Xenopus tropicalis: one gene and its partners. The protein of the gene in region 1 purifies or fractionates together with the protein of each later gene. This does not show direct contact. Links are inferred from orthologs where the notes say so. Each region holds a gene or a part of one and is shown in the gene's direction. Other genes may lie near its edges. The genes, in order: arpc5l, arpc1a, arpc2 and arpc3.

Evidence for each region.
Region 2: the proteins of arpc5l (region 1) and arpc1a fractionate together in Homo sapiens (co-fractionation; 7 studies listed by BioGRID and IntAct, with this or other methods). This does not show direct contact. The link is inferred for Xenopus tropicalis from reciprocal best matches to the Homo sapiens genes ARPC5L and ARPC1A.
Region 3: the proteins of arpc5l (region 1) and arpc2 fractionate together in Homo sapiens (co-fractionation; 7 studies listed by BioGRID and IntAct, with this or other methods). This does not show direct contact. The link is inferred for Xenopus tropicalis from reciprocal best matches to the Homo sapiens genes ARPC5L and ARPC2.
Region 4: the proteins of arpc5l (region 1) and arpc3 purify together in Homo sapiens (affinity purification with mass spectrometry; 7 studies listed by BioGRID and IntAct, counting the BioPlex papers as one, with this or other methods). This does not show direct contact. The link is inferred for Xenopus tropicalis from reciprocal best matches to the Homo sapiens genes ARPC5L and ARPC3.

The regions. Positions count from the first base shown.
Region 1 is NC_030684.2:28,257,424-28,262,315, reverse strand, and holds the start of arpc5l (actin-related protein 2/3 complex subunit 5-like protein), read left to right. Parts: upstream 1-1,451; 5' UTR 1,452-1,785; coding exon 1,786-1,931; intron 1,932-4,892. UniProt on the Homo sapiens protein: May function as component of the Arp2/3 complex which is involved in regulation of actin polymerization and together with an activating nucleation-promoting factor (NPF) mediates the formation of branched actin networks.
Region 2 is NC_030685.2:41,716,590-41,720,902, forward strand, and holds part of arpc1a (actin-related protein 2/3 complex subunit 1A), read left to right. Parts: intron 1-1,659; coding exon 1,660-1,882; intron 1,883-4,313. UniProt on the Homo sapiens protein: Probably functions as a component of the Arp2/3 complex which is involved in regulation of actin polymerization and together with an activating nucleation-promoting factor (NPF) mediates the formation of branched actin networks.
Region 3 is NC_030685.2:85,244,260-85,249,357, reverse strand, and holds the start of arpc2 (actin-related protein 2/3 complex subunit 2), read left to right. Parts: upstream 1-1,745; 5' UTR 1,746-1,842; coding exon 1,843-1,916; intron 1,917-4,790; coding exon 4,791-4,825; intron 4,826-5,098. UniProt on the Homo sapiens protein: Actin-binding component of the Arp2/3 complex, a multiprotein complex that mediates actin polymerization upon stimulation by nucleation-promoting factor (NPF).
Region 4 is NC_030677.2:162,793,425-162,798,234, reverse strand, and holds the start of arpc3 (actin-related protein 2/3 complex subunit 3), read left to right. Parts: upstream 1-1,732; 5' UTR 1,733-1,939; coding exon 1,940-1,945; intron 1,946-4,810. Other genes in the region: gpn3 (GPN-loop GTPase 3), read right to left, coding at 1-117, 289-456, 734-842, 1,559-1,606. UniProt on the Homo sapiens protein: Component of the Arp2/3 complex, a multiprotein complex that mediates actin polymerization upon stimulation by nucleation-promoting factor (NPF).

The DNA.
Region 1 (4,892 bases):
AATTGGTTTGGCCACCATACTAGTGCTCGCAGACAATTACAATGCACACACAGTTTAAGATATGAGTGCGTTTTTCTAGGTTAAATAATAATCAATATTACAATATGGAGGTCATAAGAGCCAGAAAGCAATTCATATGTCCAAGAACAACTCTCATAATTGCAGCTTTTAGTCAGCATTCTAGGGCATTACTTGTAATGATCGGCAGGTAAATTAACAGGAAAGTACAAACCTAGTAATGACCAAATCATGGTATTTTTTTGGCGCTGTCATTTACTGCCATTCTGATATAGTGGATAGTCCAATTGCCAATGCCATATCACCCTTGAAAAAATGATTTATATAATATTGCCAACAATCTGACCTACTAATTCACCACCCACAGGCACTAACTAGCTTCCATGTAAAGATGACCCCTTTGAAACTGGTCTCAAAATCCTGACTATATCACAAACATTGAGAGAAGGCAGGCACTCTGGTAGTTCACGTATCATGTGTTAGCTCAATAAAAGTTTTGTGATTTTACTTTACTTTCTCGTGGACAACCGCTTTTCTTCACTGAACTACCAGAGTGCCTGTCTTCTCTCTGTGTGAGGCAGTCTCCTCAACCTTATTTATTTGTTTGTAGAACCACATGGTGACTCTACCTAAGCTGATCAGAAAACCCTGCACTACACTGATGAGCCCCCAATAAGGGTGAAACCGGTCTGTAGTTGGGAATCTGATCAGCTATTGTCCTGGCTTCAGCTTCAAACCCAGTGGGTGAGCTGTAGCCTATAGGATAAACCCATGTAAATGGGATTTTTTTAAAGAGTCTGGAATTTGTTCCCAGAATTCCTTTTGTTTGCTTTTGTCTGCGTGAGGCAGTCTCCTCAACCTTATTTATTTGTTTGTCTTCTCTCAATGTTTGTGAGATACCCATGATGGCTCCCTCTAGCTGAAGGTCTGGGGCATGAGCACCTGGGCCCATCTATACTATGGGTGAGATTTACGAATTACTTCTGAGCATATGTTTACTTTTTTCTGTATCTTAAAATCCTGACCCTTAATATCCAATTAGCAATTCACTGATGTACCTTCTTTAAGGCTACATATAAATCTGCCTTGTGTGACTACAGCACGCATTTCAATTCCCAAGTAGTGTGGCACAATGTAAGTTTATTTCGTTTAAGGCACCATGCCTCCTCCATACAGTTATTTCTTTTCCGAATGTTGACATCTATGCCCCTAACTACTGTCCCCCAAGCCCCTGGGGTGACGGCCTGAGGAGTTGCTAAGCAACAAGAGGCCGCCATGTTGGCTTCTCGCTTCTCACGCGTTCATGTCAGTGACGCCATTCCGCTTCCGCTACACGCTCCGCCCTGCCGGAGTCACCGGAAGCGGAGGGAGCCGGCTGGACTGGAAGCGAGTGTCCGTGACAGCGGCCAAGCCCCCTTCCCTCTCAGTCGCCACTTCCCTCCCTGGTCACCCCCACCCTGAGTAGCTGCCGTCCGACCTAGCCAGGGAGTAAGCGCCTCAACACCCCCTTTTCATTGGCCTCCGCCCCCTTCCCTCCTCTCTCTCAGCCCCCAATTCCTGTCACACAGCTTCATTGAGAGAATTCATTGAGCCTTACTGTAGCCCCTAGCGATCAGTGGCCGCATTTTTGAAGGGGGTGCGTTTTGCTGTCAGGCTCATTGAGTGTTTGTAGTGGCAGTCGGTTCCTGTCACCTTCCCTGCGCTCACACCCTATCAGGGTGTCACACCCCCTTCCTGTGGGTGCTGCAGCCGGCCGGCTAGCCTAACATGGCCAAGAACACGCTGTCGTCGCGCTTCCGCAAGGTGGACATAGACGAGTACGACGAGAACAAATTTGTTGACGATCAGCTGCAGGAGGAACCGGCCGAGCCTCAGGGGCCCGACGAGGCCGAGGTGGACAGTCTGATCAGGCAATATCCTTTTACTGTATTACTGCACACCTAGGCCATCGCTCATGCTGTAATTACTGGAATGCTTAACCTGCAACCCTCTTGTCAGGGGGGGGGGGGGACTGATAAACAGTTTATTATTTTTTTAATGAAAAATGTTTCTTATGGGTGAAGACACATGTAGCTACTAGTACTTGTCATGGCTACTCAAATAGACAATGCTGATCATTTACTGATACAGGTATCGGACCCCTTATCCGGAAACCCATTATCCATAAAGTTCTGAATTACCAAAAGGCCGTCTCCCATAGACTCCATTGTGATCAAATAATTCACATTTTAAAAAATTATTTCATTTTTCTCTGTAATAATAATACAGTACCTTGTACTTGATCCCAACTAAGATATAATTACCCCTTATTGGGGGCAGAACAGCCCTATTGGGTTTATTTAATGGTTAAATGATTCCCTTTTCTCTGTAATAATAAAACAGTACCTGTACGTGATCCCAACTAAGATATAATTACCCCTTATTGGGGCAGAACAGCCCTATTGGGTTTATTTAATGGTTAAATGATTCCCTTTTCTCTGTAATAATAAAACAGTACCTGTACTTGATCCCAACTAAGATATAATTACCCGTTATTGGGGGCAGAACAGCCCTATTGGGTTTATTTAATGGTTAAATGATTCCCTTTTCTCTGTAATAATAAAACAGTACCTGTACTTGATCCCAACTAAGATACAATTAATTCTTATTAGAGGCAAAACAAGCCTATTGGGTTTATTTAATGTTTAAATAATTTTATTAACATACTTAAGGTATGGAGATCCAAATTACGGAAAGACCCCTTATCTGGAAAACCCCAGGTCATGAGCATTCTGGATAATGGGTCCCATACCTGTAATTGTCTCTATGTGTGCGTTTTAGCAGAGGCAAGTCTCAGTATTGTCTATGGCAGGGTGTTTTCTGGAGTTAAGTAGCCATGAAAAAGTAGCTACTACTAGTAGCTCTGTGTGTCTTCACCCTAAAGCGAGTGGGAGCTAAAAATGTTACGGTGGAGCTAAGTAACTTGCAGCTATGCCCCTGCCTCTAGCAGTTGTTTCTGCACATTTGCCAGTATCACTCTTCGTGCCTCCCTTGTCCTGGGAGTGGTGGGTAACAGCTGGGGGTACGTACATAGTTTAATATGCATTGACTCATCCTTTGCTGATAACAAAGATTCAGTTATAAAAAGCAATGATATGAAAGGCTGTGACAGAACAAGAGGCTGGTCAATCATTGTGAGTGGGAAAGACTGGTAATTGCTGGCCCCATGCAATCCAGTGTTGCAGGTTTATTGATACTTTGCTTACATTCTTTAGCAAACATTATGGCTGTACACATGGTGGTGCTAGTTAGGGGCTGAGCAGTCTGGATGTATGGTTACAACTCCAAGGCTTGTGTTTGTTAGAAGAGAAAAATCCAATCGGCCATTTTAGCTACACCTTGTAGGTATGACTGTAGTTGCGGTATTTATAATTGATTTTAATAAAGGCATGTACTGAATCCTTCATTTTTAGATTCAGCTGAATCCTGCATTAACAATATAGCAGAACGCTGAATCTAAATTGTATTATTACATTTTAACAGAGAAAATCAAATATATCAACCTGGAGGAAAAAAACAGCCCTATTTTAGTTAACTTTTTTAGGTCTCCTTAGTGCTGGCTTAGGTTAGTGATACACAGGGCTGTTTCCCCACCTGCGTAAAAATGGGAACAGGCCAATGCAAGTGGATCCATTCCTTCTTACTAGTGGACTGACCGGCATGTCGGCAGCCTGTGAGCGCAGACAGAAAGTGAATTCCAACAATAAATTCATTATAGGGTGTTGATTGATTCATAAGCCAGAGAAATATACTGCTTAGAATGTCCAAATGCCAGGCCATTGATAGTTTTCTAATGTTACTTATAAAATTTAGGCAAAAGGTACTTCTTTGAAATAAGTTGGTGATGTGGGTTCTCTTAAAGTAACATTAAAAAAAAAAAAATGATGAAGGTATTGAAATATATAACGTACTGCTGCCCTGCACTGGTAAAACTTGTGTGTTTGCTTCACAAACTCTACTACTGTTAAATAAATAAGCTGCTGTGTAGCTATGGGGGTAGGTATTTAGCTTGAAAACAAGAAAAGGCACAGATTGCATATCAGATTTGCTCTGTATCTGTGGCATCTAACCCAGTTTCAACTCGAATGGCAGCCCCCGTGGCTACACAGCTACTTATTTTCAGGCCTGGATTTGTGGGCAAGCCACAAAGGGCCATGCCAAGGGCACCAAGGATCTGGTGGCAGCATGCTGCCCGCTGGCTGCATCTGAACTGGGGACAGGGTGAGAGATTTTGCTAGCTGTTTAAATCTCCCTTGGCCCTCAATGTTTTTCTGCTTCAAAGTTCACATTTTTCATGCAGCACAGCTCTCTGATGTTATACGGTTTGTTAAGATTTGCCCCTGTAAGGCTCATGGCACACAGGATGTATTTTCGCCCGTGGTTTGTCACTCTGGAGAAACACCTAAACCCATCGGAGAAGCCTGTTATTCGTATTAATAGAATCTGTCTGTCAACAGTGGAAAAATTCCAAAGAAGAGTTTGTACCATGAGCCTGCGGGCTTATTGTAAAACAAAGCCAGGATCTCTAACAATGTAAGACTTAAGAGTAATTACTAGTGAGAATGAATAAATCAGGCTGGAAATACATGAGAAAAGAAAAGTAAAAATGACTTTTTTCTAACATTTATGTGAAAAGAAGAGGCACGTTTTACCCAAGCCATATAGACCTTCCTGTGTACGCTTCTGGTCTGCCACTGGCGAGGGCGTGACTAAGGTCTCTCACCCACCACACCCTAGTTATGCTTCACTTGCCTGGGTTGTAAAAGGCTGCCTTGTTCCTGTGAGAACACTGCATACTTTGAGACTTTATGCTGCAATCACAAAGGTAACTAAAA
Region 2 (4,313 bases), on another chromosome or scaffold:
AAAACTATTAGAACTCAAATAAGTCACCTTATCAGTAGGTTTACAATAAAGATCAAATATAAATGTATTGTTCTCAACTCCCACCAAAACATCCAGGAAATGTACCTTATGCCGATCCCTTTCCAGGGTAAATTGTATTTTTGGTAATCTCGTATCCAGGTATTCCTTAAACTCCAATAGTACATCCTCTGTACCCTGCCAAATAAAAAAAGATAATGTCTATATAGCGTAGCCAAACTAGAACATGTTGCCAAAACCTCTCATTTCCATAGACAAACTCATCCTCATACCAAGCCATGAATAAATTTGCATAGGCCGGAGCTACATTAGAGCCCATTGATGTACCCTGGCTCTGTTCAAAAAATTTTTCTTCAAAGACAAAATAGTTTTTAGTCAATACCATTCTCAAAAACTTCAGCAGCATTGTTGGTACCCCACTAGGTAGGTCAAGTTTATCGAGCACCCCTTGTATCACATCCATACCCTGTTCATGTGGGATAGATGTATACAAGGAAGCCACATCCATTGTACATAGCCAGACTCCCTCATCTAGCCCCTGGACAGTATTTAATTTATTGATAAAGTCAGTGCTATCCTTCACATAGGATTTAGTACCTACCATCACCGGATTAAGTACACTATCCAGTAGCATCGCAATCGGTTGAAAAATGGATGATACTCCTGCAACTATAGGTCGGCCAGGGGGATTCTGAAGATTTTTGTGTATTTTCGGAAGAAGATAAAATGCTGGGAAATCAACAGTCAAATAATCATATAGTTTCTTTGTAATTAAGCCATCATTCAAGCATTCCTTCAGGTATTCATCTAGCACCTGTTTCAACACATTCGTTGGATCCTTATTCAAACGCTTATAGTGTTTAATTTCCCAGTTGTAGCCATACTTCCTTTCTATATGCTTCCGCATCCATTACTACAATGGCTCCCCCCTTGTCCGTAGGTTTTATCACAATGGTTTTATCGGAACTTAAAGTCTCTAAGGCTTCTTTTTCAGATTTCTCAAGATTGATACCTGCCGGCAGGAGGTGCCATTTCAGTTTTTCCACATCCTTCCCTATTCTAGCCCTGAGTGCACTCTATTACTTTAAATACTGTATGAAAATAGCAGAGCTGAAAAAAGAGTTTGAAGGTGTACAACCCCTTTAAAGTGCTAGAGTTTGTCAGCTGCCATTTTTTATAAATAATTTTTGGGTTGCAGAACATGCTTTCTCTTATTGTATAATATTTGGTCATAATGCTATTACCCAGTTATCCTAATGTATAAAGCAGTGGAAATGTCAGAATTTTGGGAACAGCACATGTGCAGTTGAGCGAAAAATGCCAGCTTTGTTTGTTAGTCATTTTTCACTCTACTGTGCATGTGTGAAGACCGAAGCAGGAAAAATCGCTAGCTCACATACATCCCTAGCCGGTGCAGTTTTCTCCTAACAGGAGCACCAACCAGGGGTTTCAGGTAAGAGATTACAATCACTAGGGGGTGCCTAACATTTTGGACCCCCCCCCCCCTAGTGATTTAACCTTTCCTTCTCCTTTTAACTTTATTCCCCTGCCCCCTTTCAAAACAAAGCAATTTTCTGCTACCTATATTATAGAAGTTTGTTCTTTCATAAAAGCATTAAAAACAACCTTTGATTTTCCTAGGCATTGACTGGGCTCCTAAAAGCGATCGTATAGTAACATGTGGTGCTGACCGTAATGCATATGTTTGGAGCCAAAAGGATGGTGTATGGAAGCCAACATTGGTGATTCTACGCATTAACCGTGCAGCTACCTTTGTAAAGTGGTCTCCGCTAGAAAATAAGTTTGCAGTGGGAAGCGGAGCAAGACTCATATCTGTGTGCTACTTTGAATCTGAAAATGACTGGTAAGTTATTCTTCCTCATTACACTAACAATATGTAGAGTTACCCGACTAAGGAACCTGGAAATCTTACCTTCGAGCAACATGCTCTCAACATGTTGCTTACCAACCCCTTGGATGTTGCTCCCAGTAGCCTTAAAGCTTGTGCTCATTATAAAAATGTCTGACTTGAAAGCATGTTTTGGAAGCATAGACACCATGTGTACTGCCAGACAAAGACTCTTGTAGTCTGCCAGTCCACATTGGGCTACAAAATAGCCAATCATAGCTCTTATTGGGTATCCCTTAAGAGAACTGTTTTCCAACTTATTTATTTTTAAATTGTTCTCAGAGGTTAAGAAGGTTGGGCCTGCCTGACGTATATGTTGGTGCAGTGCTGAAAAGTACTCTAGTCTGGTGCATTTTTGATTGTTTGGGTGCTTAACAACTTGCCATCTTACATTCTTTCATGAAGGTGTTGCAGTATGCAAGATTTACCAATTGGTGCTTCACATGTTTCTGACTTACGTCATTGATCATAATAATTAGCTTATTAGTGTTATGGTCATTCTGTTTTTTTGGTATTCCACTCTAGCAATCAAGTTATGAAACTGTTTGTTTTATGTAAATGTGGTTAAAAACAAAACTATACAATTTTTATAAATGTAGTCAATAATAAATTAAAGAAGAAATTACAGAATATTGTTTTGGTTTCTACTTTTTTTTTTTTTTTCAATTCTGTGTGGCAGCTTTTTGGATAGCTACGACCCATAATCCTTTATGTTCCAGCAAAATATCACATTTAATTTTCATTTTACATTTTATTCTCATCTTTTCTTCTGGAAAAATGTATTTACCCAGTAAACCTATGTATTTTTTTAAAGGCTTTGTAAATCTCCCTGATTGTTTTTTCTGTGTAATTGTACTTCTGTATCAAGATAATGAACTCAAAGATACAAATCTTTTGGAATGTTTTTTTTTTTTTTTTTTTTAACCCTTTTACTGCCAGCCATTTTGGTCAAAGCGGAACTTGTATTGCCAGACAGTTTTTGAACATTTTGCACTGTTTCACTTTAGGGGCCTTTCCTCGGGGGGACTTTTAGTTTACCAAGGAAAACAATATATCGTTTTTTTCAGAACAACCTAAGCTTTCAAAATATGGTAGAATTTTTGTGTAATTCCAATTCTGTAACAAGATATAGGCTTCTAAATGTCTAAAAATGCAAAAAAAATCAAATTTTCCATAATATAATCACACATACTAGAAACAAAAATTATTTTATGCATGAATATACAACTGATTTGGAAAGTCCCATGTCTCCTGAACGTGCCAATACCAAATATATATAGTTTTATGGAGATTTCTCACTTGTATAGGTCAAAAACTCCCAGCAGTACACTACCAAATTCCCAAAGCACTGCTCCAAAAAAACTGCATACTTTGGATTTCAAGGCCAAAATTCCACTAACAGAAGGTTTATCCCAGAAAATTGTACATTTTTGGAAAGAACAGATTCTGGGGAATACAGAATAGGCACAACTGTCTGTCTACTCCAAACTATCAAGTCGCAATGCTTTCCTAAAGTTATTGGTTTTTATCAAAATTTGTGATTTTTTTTAAAAATCGCTTCAAAGCTTCTAGTCTATAGTATCTTATCTCCTACAGGTCATAAAGTAACCAAATAAAACACCCCAAATATGAATGCCTGGGGTCCACTGAACAGTTTGATGCCCAATATGTATAGGTTTACCTAAGTATGTGGCATGTAGGGGCCCGAATGTGAACATACCCCATATGAACTGTCATTTCTGTCATTTCAGCTTCTGCAAAATCAACACATTTACATCATTATATGTGAGATAAAGCTACAAAAAAGTACGCTCACCCCAGAAAGCCATATATTTTTGGAAAGTACACATTCCCCCGAATCTAAAATGGGTACCCATGTCTTTCTACTCCAAAGTACCAAGCCGCACAGCTTTTCTAAAGTTAGCAATTTTGATGACATTTCCAAAAATCCCCTCAAAGCTTCCACTTTGCAGCATCTTATCTCCCACATAGCATTAGGTACCAAGATAAAACACCCTGAATTTGAACACCAGGGGTCCACTGAACAGTTTGATGCCCAATATGTATAGGTTTACCTAAGTATGTGGCATGTAGGGGCCCCAATGGGAACATACCCCCATATGATCTATCATTTCAGCTCCTGCAAAATCAACACATTTACATCCTTTATGTGGGATAATGCTACAAAAAAAGTACATTCACCCCAGAAAGCCATATATTTTTGGAAAATACACATCCCCCCGAATCTATAATGGGTAAATATTTCTTATTGCTACAAAGTACCAAGCTGTAAAGCTTTCCTAAGTTTGCAGATTTATATGACATTTCGAAAATCGCATAAAAATGTTGCAATTTGCCGCATTTATCTCTCACAATTTCTTGATAA
Region 3 (5,098 bases), on another chromosome or scaffold:
TCACTTGAAAATTCAGGGACACATCTAAAAAATCCAACTAGAAGGGCTGCACTGATTGCAATTAGATTCAACAGAATATGTTTACAAGTATTTTTGTTCCAGCCAATAAGCAAAGCAGGCAGAGTTGCCAGATTCATTTTTCCAAACCAGCCAAAGTCAGTTTTAAAACCAGCCCAAAACTAGCCAAAAGCCACTTTGAAAGTAGCCCAAAAATAGCCCAATATCTGCAATGAAAAAAAATTCTAAAAAAATAAAAGAATATATGGGAAACCTGCCTTTTTAAAGCGTATAATCCCTACCCATGTCCTGTGCCCCCTCCCCAGTTACTGGGATGGCTGATAATTCCCTCTGGGCCCAGTCCGGCTGGGAAATCACTACAGAAATGGATTCAGAATGTTGCATTAACCCCAGACATGATATACATATGGGTGTGTTGAACTACAACTCTCACAGCCCCAAGATATCATGAGAGTTATAGCTTAAGAATCAACTGCAGAACTGCCCCACATCCCAGTAGAAAGTAACAGTACAATCACATACCCTATAGAGCAGGGAGCAGGGGGTAGAACTGCCCCACATCCCAGTAGAAAGTAACAGTACAATCACATACCCTATAGAGCAGGGGGTAGAACTGCCCCACATCCCAGTAGAAAGTAACAGTACAATCACATACCCTATAGAGCAGGGAGCAGGGGGTAGAACTGCCCCACATCCCAGTAGAAAGTAACAGTACAATCACATACCCTATAGAGCAGGGGGTAGAACTGCCCCACATCCCAGTAGAAAGTAACAGTACAATCACATACCCTATAGAGCAGGGGGTAGAACTGCCCCACATCCCAGTAGAAAGTAACAGTACAATCACATACCCTATAGAGCAGGGAGCAGGGGGTAGAACTGCCCCACATCCCAGTAGAAAGTAACAGTACAATCACATACCCTATAGAGCAGGGGGTAGAACTGCCCCACATCCCAGTAGAAAGTAACAGTACAATCACATACCCTATAGAGCAGGGGGTAGAACTGCCCCACATCCCAGTAGAAAGTAACAGTACAATCACATACCCTATAGAGCAGGGAGCAGGGGGTAGAACTGGCCCACATCCCAGTAGAAAGTAATGGTGTAAGCTCATACCCTATAGAGCAGGTTGTAGAACAGACAGGTTGAGCCTAAATAGAATAGAAACCTTGGTCTATACTATCCAATTGCATGCTGGGTACTGTAGTTTTATATTAATCCTAGCTGTAGGCTAATTGTAAGATACAAACTACATTACCCAGCATGCAGTGGGAAAGACACACTAGGGGAAAAAACTTTGGCTAGTTCCCAAACTACAAACCCGCCAAGGCTCCAAAACAAATAGCCCAAATCTGTACTTTGGAAACCCACCTGGGCTTTAAATTAGTAGCCCAATTTGGCGGGAAAACCGCCAACCCTGAAAACAAGTGTATCGAGCCCAGTCAGTATCAAAAGGTTTGACGGCGTGGCCATAATGCTGTACGGAATAGTGAGATGGCGGATAACTTGCGATAGTTTCAGGGTCTTTAAGGAATCTGCTCAGTGGGCGACCGTGTTGGCGTGCGGAATAGTGAGACGCCGGGAATGATTTGGTTTTACATGCAGTAATGTGGCGGCCATGTTGCGGTACGGAATTACGCGCAGCCTGGTGAGGCGCGGGACGGAGGCGGCCATGTTTCTGTACGGAGGAAGCTGCTGTGGGCGGCGCCATCTTGCAGTACGGGAAGAGGGAAGTGGTTCTGGGCAGGGAGCGGCGGCCTGTCACACACTGACACCGAGATACCGATCCGACCCCTCCCTGCTGTCCCCCGCCAGGTGCCGCCATGATCCTGCTGGAGGTGAATAACCGGATCATAGAGGAGACCCTCAACCTCAAGTTTGAAAATGCGGCTGCAGGGTGAGTGCGGGAGGGCCGGGAGCGGGGTGAGTGCGGGAGGGCCGGGGGAGCGGGGTGAGTGCGGGAGGGCCGGGGGAGCGGGGTGAGTGCGGGAGGGCCGGGAGCGGGGTGAGTGCGGGAGGGCCGGGGGAGCGGGGTGAGTGCGGGAGGGCCGGGGGAGCGGGGTGAGTGCGGGAGGGCCGGGGGAGCGGGGTGAGTGCGGGAGGTGAGTGCGGGAGGGCCGGGGGAGCGGGGTGAGTGCGGGAGGGCCGGCGGGGTAAGTGCTGGCGGTGTATAGAGGGGGCGGCCGGCTGTGTGACTGAGACCGGGGTGGGTGGGGGCCCGGGATGGGTGGGGGCCCGGGATGGGTGGGGGCCCAGCTGGACATTGACCGATTAAAAGTTTTAATATGAGTATGGTGAGAATGGGCAATTCCTTATGTTTCGGAGCCCTCACACGGTTTTACGTTATTTTACTAGTTATCCCATAGGGGGAAGTGGATTGGGGTAGGAAGAGGAGTAGAGCTAGGGGTACATACCTGAGCTGGGGCAAATAGAGTGGGACTTGGGGTACATACCTGAGCTGGGGCAAATAGAGTGGGACTTGGGGTACATACCTGAGCTGGGGCAAATAGAGTGGGACTTGGGGTACATACCTGAGCTGGGGCAAATAGAGTGGGACTTGGGGTACATACCTGAGCTGGGGCAAATAGAGTGGGACTTGGGGTACATACCTGAGCTGGGGCAAACAGTGGGACTTGGGGTACATACCTGAGCTGGGGCAAATAGAGTGGGACTTGGGGTACATACCTGAGCTGGGGCAAATAGAGTGGGACTTGGGGTACATACCTGAGCTGGGGCAAGTAGAGTGGGACTTGGGGTACATACCTGAGCTGGGGCAAGTAGAGTGGGACTTGGGGTACATACCTGAGCTGGGGCAAGTAGAGTGGGACTTGGGGTACATACCTGAGCTGGGGCAAACAGAGTGGGACTTGGGGTACATACCTGAGCTGGGGTAACAGTGGGGACTGGTAAAGAAATGCAGGGCAGAAGTTGGAGGAATAAATATGGGGTGAAGTCTAAGGTGGGGTACATATCAGGGCTGGGGTGTAAGAGGGGCAAGAATTAACAGCGGCTTCTGGAAATTAAAGTTGGGGTACAGTGAATAAGGGAGACAGGGCAGAAAATAGGGAAATGGTATTGGGGTACTATGTGGGGCTTAGGGGGGGTTACAGTGTGAGGCTGGGTGGGAATGAAGCTCACACTCTAATAAGGGCTCAAGGGGTGGGGCTGGGAGCAGGGCCGGGTTATGAACATAATATGGGGTGCAAGGAAGGTGAGACGGGGGTAGGAAAGGGCTGCCCCACTGATAGAGTTAGTGCTATGTGGCCCTCCAGCTGCTGATCCTATTACCTTCCAGCACCCCAGGGCCCCTGCAGACTGAGCCTCTCTGCCTATGAGAAAGTTGCAGAATGTTGATACATTGTAGCAGTGTCAGTTACACTATAAATGTGTCTTTGCTGAGAGAGAATGCAGAGAGCTGCAGTTAAACCTTTCCAGGCCGTGTAAGTGGCCCCTCGGGGTGGGTGCCTGTTGCATTCTTGTTGCCCCCTACACCCCCACTGCAGACACCGTGAGGCTATCGGATGTGGTAACTTCACGCTCTGCACTGAGCTCAGAGATGGGAGAATACAGAGCTGAGATATGATTCATTCTCTCACTATATATATATATATATATATATATATATATATATATATATATATATATATATATATATCTGTATTCTGCTATTGGCCCCGCCCACTGTGAGACTTCAGAGAAGGAGCTACCATATACGGGGTGGGGGCCCAACTTCCTCATCCTGGGTGCATTTCTGCGCCTGTCCTGGCAGGTCCTATCAGTAAAGATTCCTCTAGCGTTGCAGTGCATGCTGGGACAAGCCCGGCTCTACTGGTAACCAGTAAAATTGCCTGTTGGGGCATGAACCAGACTGGACCCTGCTGCTTATTAGTGTCCGATATAAATGTGTGTGGCCCTAATACCCTATGATATCCTAGTTAGCATGGAAATGTATGCATAATTATGATTAGGAGCTGCCATATGACTTGCCTTGGCTGAAGAATCCATTCTAGACTTCAAGAGGTTGGGATGATGTAGAAAGTAATATTGTGACACAGTTTGCAATTGGTCTTCACTTTTTATTTCACTTTTTGTTCTGAAGCTCTCAATTTTGGAATTTTAGCAGCTATCTGGGTCCAAAGTACCTTAGCAACCATGGTGTGGCAGAACAAGGGATTGGCGTATGGTCAGTAGAGAACCTGAATACAAAAACAAGTTATAAAAAGTTACAAACACAATAAAATTGTAGCCTCATGGGGAAGTAGTTTGTTTGGTTTTTTTTTCATTGGCTGCCGGGGTCAGTGACCCCTATTTGAATGCAGGAAAGTCAGAAGAAGGCGGCAAATGATTAAAAAATAAATAATGAAGACCAATTGAAAAGTTGCTGAGAATTGGCCATTCTATAACATACTAAAAGTTAATTTGCTGGTCATGTGACGGTCAGATTGGGCGACAGAATCTCAGTTTATTTGTCAGGGTTTAAATATATACTGCTTTCCCCACACAGACCCAATACTGACCCCCCCATTAGATTTTCCTGCACCCCCAAACTGCTGCCCAATCCAGAGGAGACATCTCTATAATCCAGATATAGTGTCGGTTAGTTTTCTCTTGTCATTTTGCCGATAGGGGCAGAAAGGGGGGGGGTTGCCCTCCAAATTAAATTTTAAAAAACTGCAAATGAAAAAAAAGACCAATTGCAAACTTTTTTTTGCAAAAGTTAACTCAAAGTGTAATGCCGTATTAACCCTGTGTCTGTGTGTCTGTCCTACAGGAACAAGCCGGAGGCGGTGGAAATGACCTTTGCAGGTAAAGCCAATTTATAAACTCCATTCTCTTCGACTGATACAGTGGGGCTCTTTTATCAACAGTGGGCAGTAACCCATAGCAACCAATCAGGGATTACATTTTTCAGCCGGCTGCAGCTAGAACAATGGATTTAACAATCAGATTGGTTGTCATGGGTTACTGCCCACTGTTTGCCCACTGCTGATAAATGAGCCCCAGTGTGTCTCTGGGTTCTAGCAGTGAGCAGCTAATACAGCATAGCCAGTACAGGGTCCCTAGGGTCACTGACTCCTA
Region 4 (4,810 bases), on another chromosome or scaffold:
ATTCCACCATGAACTGAGAGTCAACAAGAAAAACCCCACAGACCCTAAATTCCCATTGCTGGAGCTGCTCCACGAGGTACTTCATGACAGGCAGATGAGTATACAGCTCAATTTGACCTAAGAAGCAAAAGCAAAATTTTCAAAACCAGGTCTAGCACAGCAAATGTACATATGTTTTTTTTTTTTTATTTAAGTTAACAAAAGAAAATATCCATTAAATTCAACCCTTCAGAGCATCTGCCAGCATCACTAACTCATTCCAAAACAACTGTTTGCTAAAGTTCTCACCTGGACAGTCAAAAAGTATGTAATCATCTTCTGTGTGTCCAAGGCAACTCTCCAGCCAGTCAAAATTGTTGGCAAAATACTCCATACAATATACAAGGCCCCCATTTGGGCCAAATCGCAATGAACGATCCTCCATCACATCATCCACTTCAATCAGTTCCCGGATATCTTAAAAAAACAAAAACAAAAGATAATTATTTTCACTGTTAGACTAGAGAAAATGCACTTTCATCCGAAGCAATACAAATAGTTATTTCACAGGGGACTGGTTAGACTGTAGAATGCTCTACTTGGTGAAGCAGAGATAACTTTATCAAACAGGACTATGAAACATTTTTATTGGCACACCTGTGTTACATTATTCTATTTGTAATATTTAAGCAAACAGCATTTAATAGTTATTTCTCCACTAAGATAATCTGACATATGTAAGGGAGTGGTTTACCAGCCAATACAGGATAATCAAAATGCTCAGCTGCAGGATCCAGATTAACCACTTGGACAGATCGGTTCAAACTCCCACAGTGCTGCACCATGGTGGAACAATAAGTGCTCTGAAATACAAAGATTAATAATCACCATCTGCCAAAAAGATGTAATTAAAAAAAAATTCTACTGTTGTAATATATTAGACACACATAGGTCTATACATATGCCAAGGCTCCTTTGTGGCATTCTAGACTTGCTCATATGCAATACATAAAATTAGAAAACCTTATGTGATACTGACACCAAAAAAAAAAACCTTACCTATTTTTTATGTACATAAAAACTTACCTATAGGTCATGTTGGTCATATTTTACTGATAGGCTGCTTTTGTAAGGAATTGCTACTTTAAGGGCCTAAACCTGACTATTTTGCCAACCTGACTGTCCCTTTTCAACCTATTGGAATTTACAGTTACAGACTATTGCTGCACAAATATGGCAGCCTCCTTCTAGAGGTACTGGTAACGTAAAAGCATTTTAAAAAGAAAGTATACAGCTCATGCAAAGACAATGTTATAAGCTATTAAAAACAGTTTAATTGTAGGTGTCAGTATATAGTCAGTATATAGTTAGTACTGCGCACATGCCTAGGCATCCTACTGTAATTATTATTTTACTTTCTTTTAATAGCAAACAAGAGAGGTCTCTTCTTCAGGCTCCAGGAAAAACTGGAAAAGGGATCCCGAACTGCAGAAATCTTACACTGTAATACTGCTCTATAGTTACCCATTAAAGGTATGATACAAATCCACAATTTTGAGAGACCAAACCCAGAAATTACCTTTCCGCTGCCGGCGGGCCCCATAACGAGCTGTGCATATCGCGGCATTCTCCTTGCATCAGACTTGAAAACTGCCCAGGTGATCCAATAAGGAGCAAGAACACCTAGTTCCCCACAGTCCCTTTGCAATAAGACATGCCGGAAGCGCCTCCTTGCCTGTAATGCTGCCTAGTAGTCGCGCTGCTGTACTTCCGGGACGCTTTGCTACGGACGCCTCACCTTCCCTGCGATTAAGCTGGCGCCCTCTAGCGGCCATGAGACGCACTAGCTGTGCTAATGTTATAACTTCCTGCTTGCGAAGCCTTGGGTGGGACAGCGGAAGTACAGATACTACAACGTTTGGTCTCCCGGATTCCTTTCAAATATTCAGGGGTGTTAAAGATGCCGGTGAGTTTTTTCTTTTTCCTGCGTATTCTATGCTGCGTTGGAGCAGCCGGATCTCGGGGCAGGAGGCGAACTGGGGTAGAGCAGGGCTTGCCCGCCGGTACCTGCATTACTTAGAGCCAATGGCCATAATGATAAGATTCGGTGTTGCCAATGTCTGGGGCCCAGTGCAGGTACGCTTCCGCGTTAGCATTGCCGGCTGCACCGCGGCCCCCAGAATCCCTACAGCTAAGGGCTCATTGTATGTTCTGTATGTTGCCTTTTAGTCTTATGAACACACCAGCGATTGACTGTATGTGATCTCTCTGGCGCTGGTAAGGCAGAACGCCCCCACTACCGTGCCAGTGCCAGTGCCCACGTATATATATTGAAGGAATTGCCTAGAGATGAAATGAGGGTGGATCGCTGGGCTTTTTCTTTCTACCTGTTTCATGTGATCTTGCGCAAGGATCTCTCATTGCTTCCCCAGCGCTCCTATCATATGTAACACGGTCACAGAACTGCCATACGGTATTATTTTATTTGTGATGGGATAGGGGTGGGCTACAGCTAGTCAGGCCACTACTTGCCCTGCAGATTGTGCAAAAAGGGGAAGAGTGTTAGTCATGCAGGAAGTGGCTGGGGCCGACACACGGGAGGCATTTGCTTAGCTGTCAGCTACATTGCTGCAACCCAACTCATACACTTTAGCAGCCATACACAGTGTTTCATTTTCAGATTGCGAAACGTTCTATAATTAGGTAAATGCATTTTCTTTTATCCTCAGACATAAATATAGCAAGGCCTTCTAGAAAATATGTATATGATGTACTGTTCCATAAATATTATATGACTGCTTAAAAGTTGTGTGTAGATACATGAAAATGAGCTCCTAATTGCATCCAAATCCCCTGGTTTGATGTTAAATACTCTTTAAAAATTCAGATCTGTATAACCCAACTTGCAGACAAATTACTAAGCTACTGCCAAGATCGGTGTCAGTTTTTGGAACATGGCTTCTGTTGTAGAGTTTGGGATGTATTCAGAATAACCAGTAAGGGCTAAAAGGATCCAAAAGCCATCCCTTGTGGAATAAACATGATACACTTCCCCAATTGAGTTTTTAAGACTTCTTTAATGGAAAACTATACCTTCAGAACAAATACTTCACAAACAGATAATTTACTTACTTATAAGTAAATATTACCATCTAACATATTCTAGGGCAGTGCTGTCCAACTTCTGTTGTACCGAGGGCCGGAATTTTTCTTGCCTACATGGTGGAGGGCCGATAATGGAAGACACTTTTGACCACTCCCCTTTTTTAAACCACACCCACTTCAAACTACACCCATGCTATCACAAGAGCTTTTAAGACCATCCCCACATTAATGGTGGCAACACAGCAAAAACCCAATGGTTGGTGCTCACTGAAGGGATATCACCCTTAATTTATATATGAAAGAATTATATTATGTATTATACACTTAAATCGATATGCCTCCTCCTCTTCTGTGGATAGCACAGCAACCCCCCAGCATATAATTACACCCCTTGGGGACCATATAATGACTATATCCAAATGCCAAACTCCAGGAACAAACCCCTGCCAGGTTCACCTTCCACAGGCAGCATAGGGCAGGGAGAGTATGGCACACACAGGCAGCATAGGAAAGGCAGAGTATGGCACGCACTGGCAGCATAGGGAAGGCAGAGTATGGCACACACAGGCAGCATAGGGGAGGCATAGAGCAGGCAGAGTACTGCTTGCCCTACCCCTCCTGTGTGTGCCATACTCTGCCTGCCCTCCCCTGCCTATGTGTGCCATACTATGCTTGCCCTCCCCTGCCTATGTGTGCCATACTATGCCTGCCCTCCCCTGCCTATGTGTGCCATACTATGCTTGCCCTCCCCTTCCTATGTGTGCCATACTATGCTTGCCCTCCCCTGCCTATGTGTGCCATACTATGCCTGCCCCCCCCTGCCTATGTGTGCCATACTATTCCTGCCCACCCCTTCCTATGTGTGCCATACTATTCCTGCCCTCCCCTGCCTATGTGTGCCATACTATGCCTGCCCCCCCTGCCTATGTGTGCCATACTATGCCTGCCCACCCCTGCCTATGTGTGCCATACTATTCCTGCCCTCCCCTGCCTATGTGTGCCATACTATGCTTGCCCTCCCCTGCCTATGTGTGCCATACTATGTTTGCCCTCCCCTGCCTGTATGTGCCATACTATGCCTGCCCCCCCGCCTATGTCTGCCATACTATTCCTGTCCACCCCTGCCTATGTGTGCCATACTATTCCTTCCCACCCCTGCCTATGTGTGCCATACTATGCCTGCCCTATTGCACACACAGGCAGCATACAGTGACACAATGCTGGATGTGTCAGAGGGAATGTCTGAGGTGTGAACAGGGGAACAATGTGGGTGATTACAGCCAGAGCCTGAGGTGTGAACACTGCAGGGGGAAAACAATGAAGGCATTAAAAGGTGTGAACAGTACAGGGGATTACATGATTAAACAATACAGGGGGATTACAGCCTGAATCTGAGGTGTGAGCAATGCAGGGGGCAGTTAATCTCAGTACTGATACCATTTAAAGGTAATACACAAAGGTAAGCCATCAAAGCAGCCAGACAGGTGGGGGGCCACACAGAGGGGGGTCGCCAGGCCACCAGTTGGACAGCCCTGTTCTAGGGCAATGAGACACCAGTCATTTTGTTGCCCATGCAAGGGCAACAAAACAACTGAAAGACAATGCCATTACAGGCAATGCAAATTAAACAGATTGTGTGATAATGCCTTGGAGGGTACTTAAGCTGGCCATACACGTGGCGATCTGACGATGTTTCGTGCAACCATCGGTCGCACGAAACATCGTC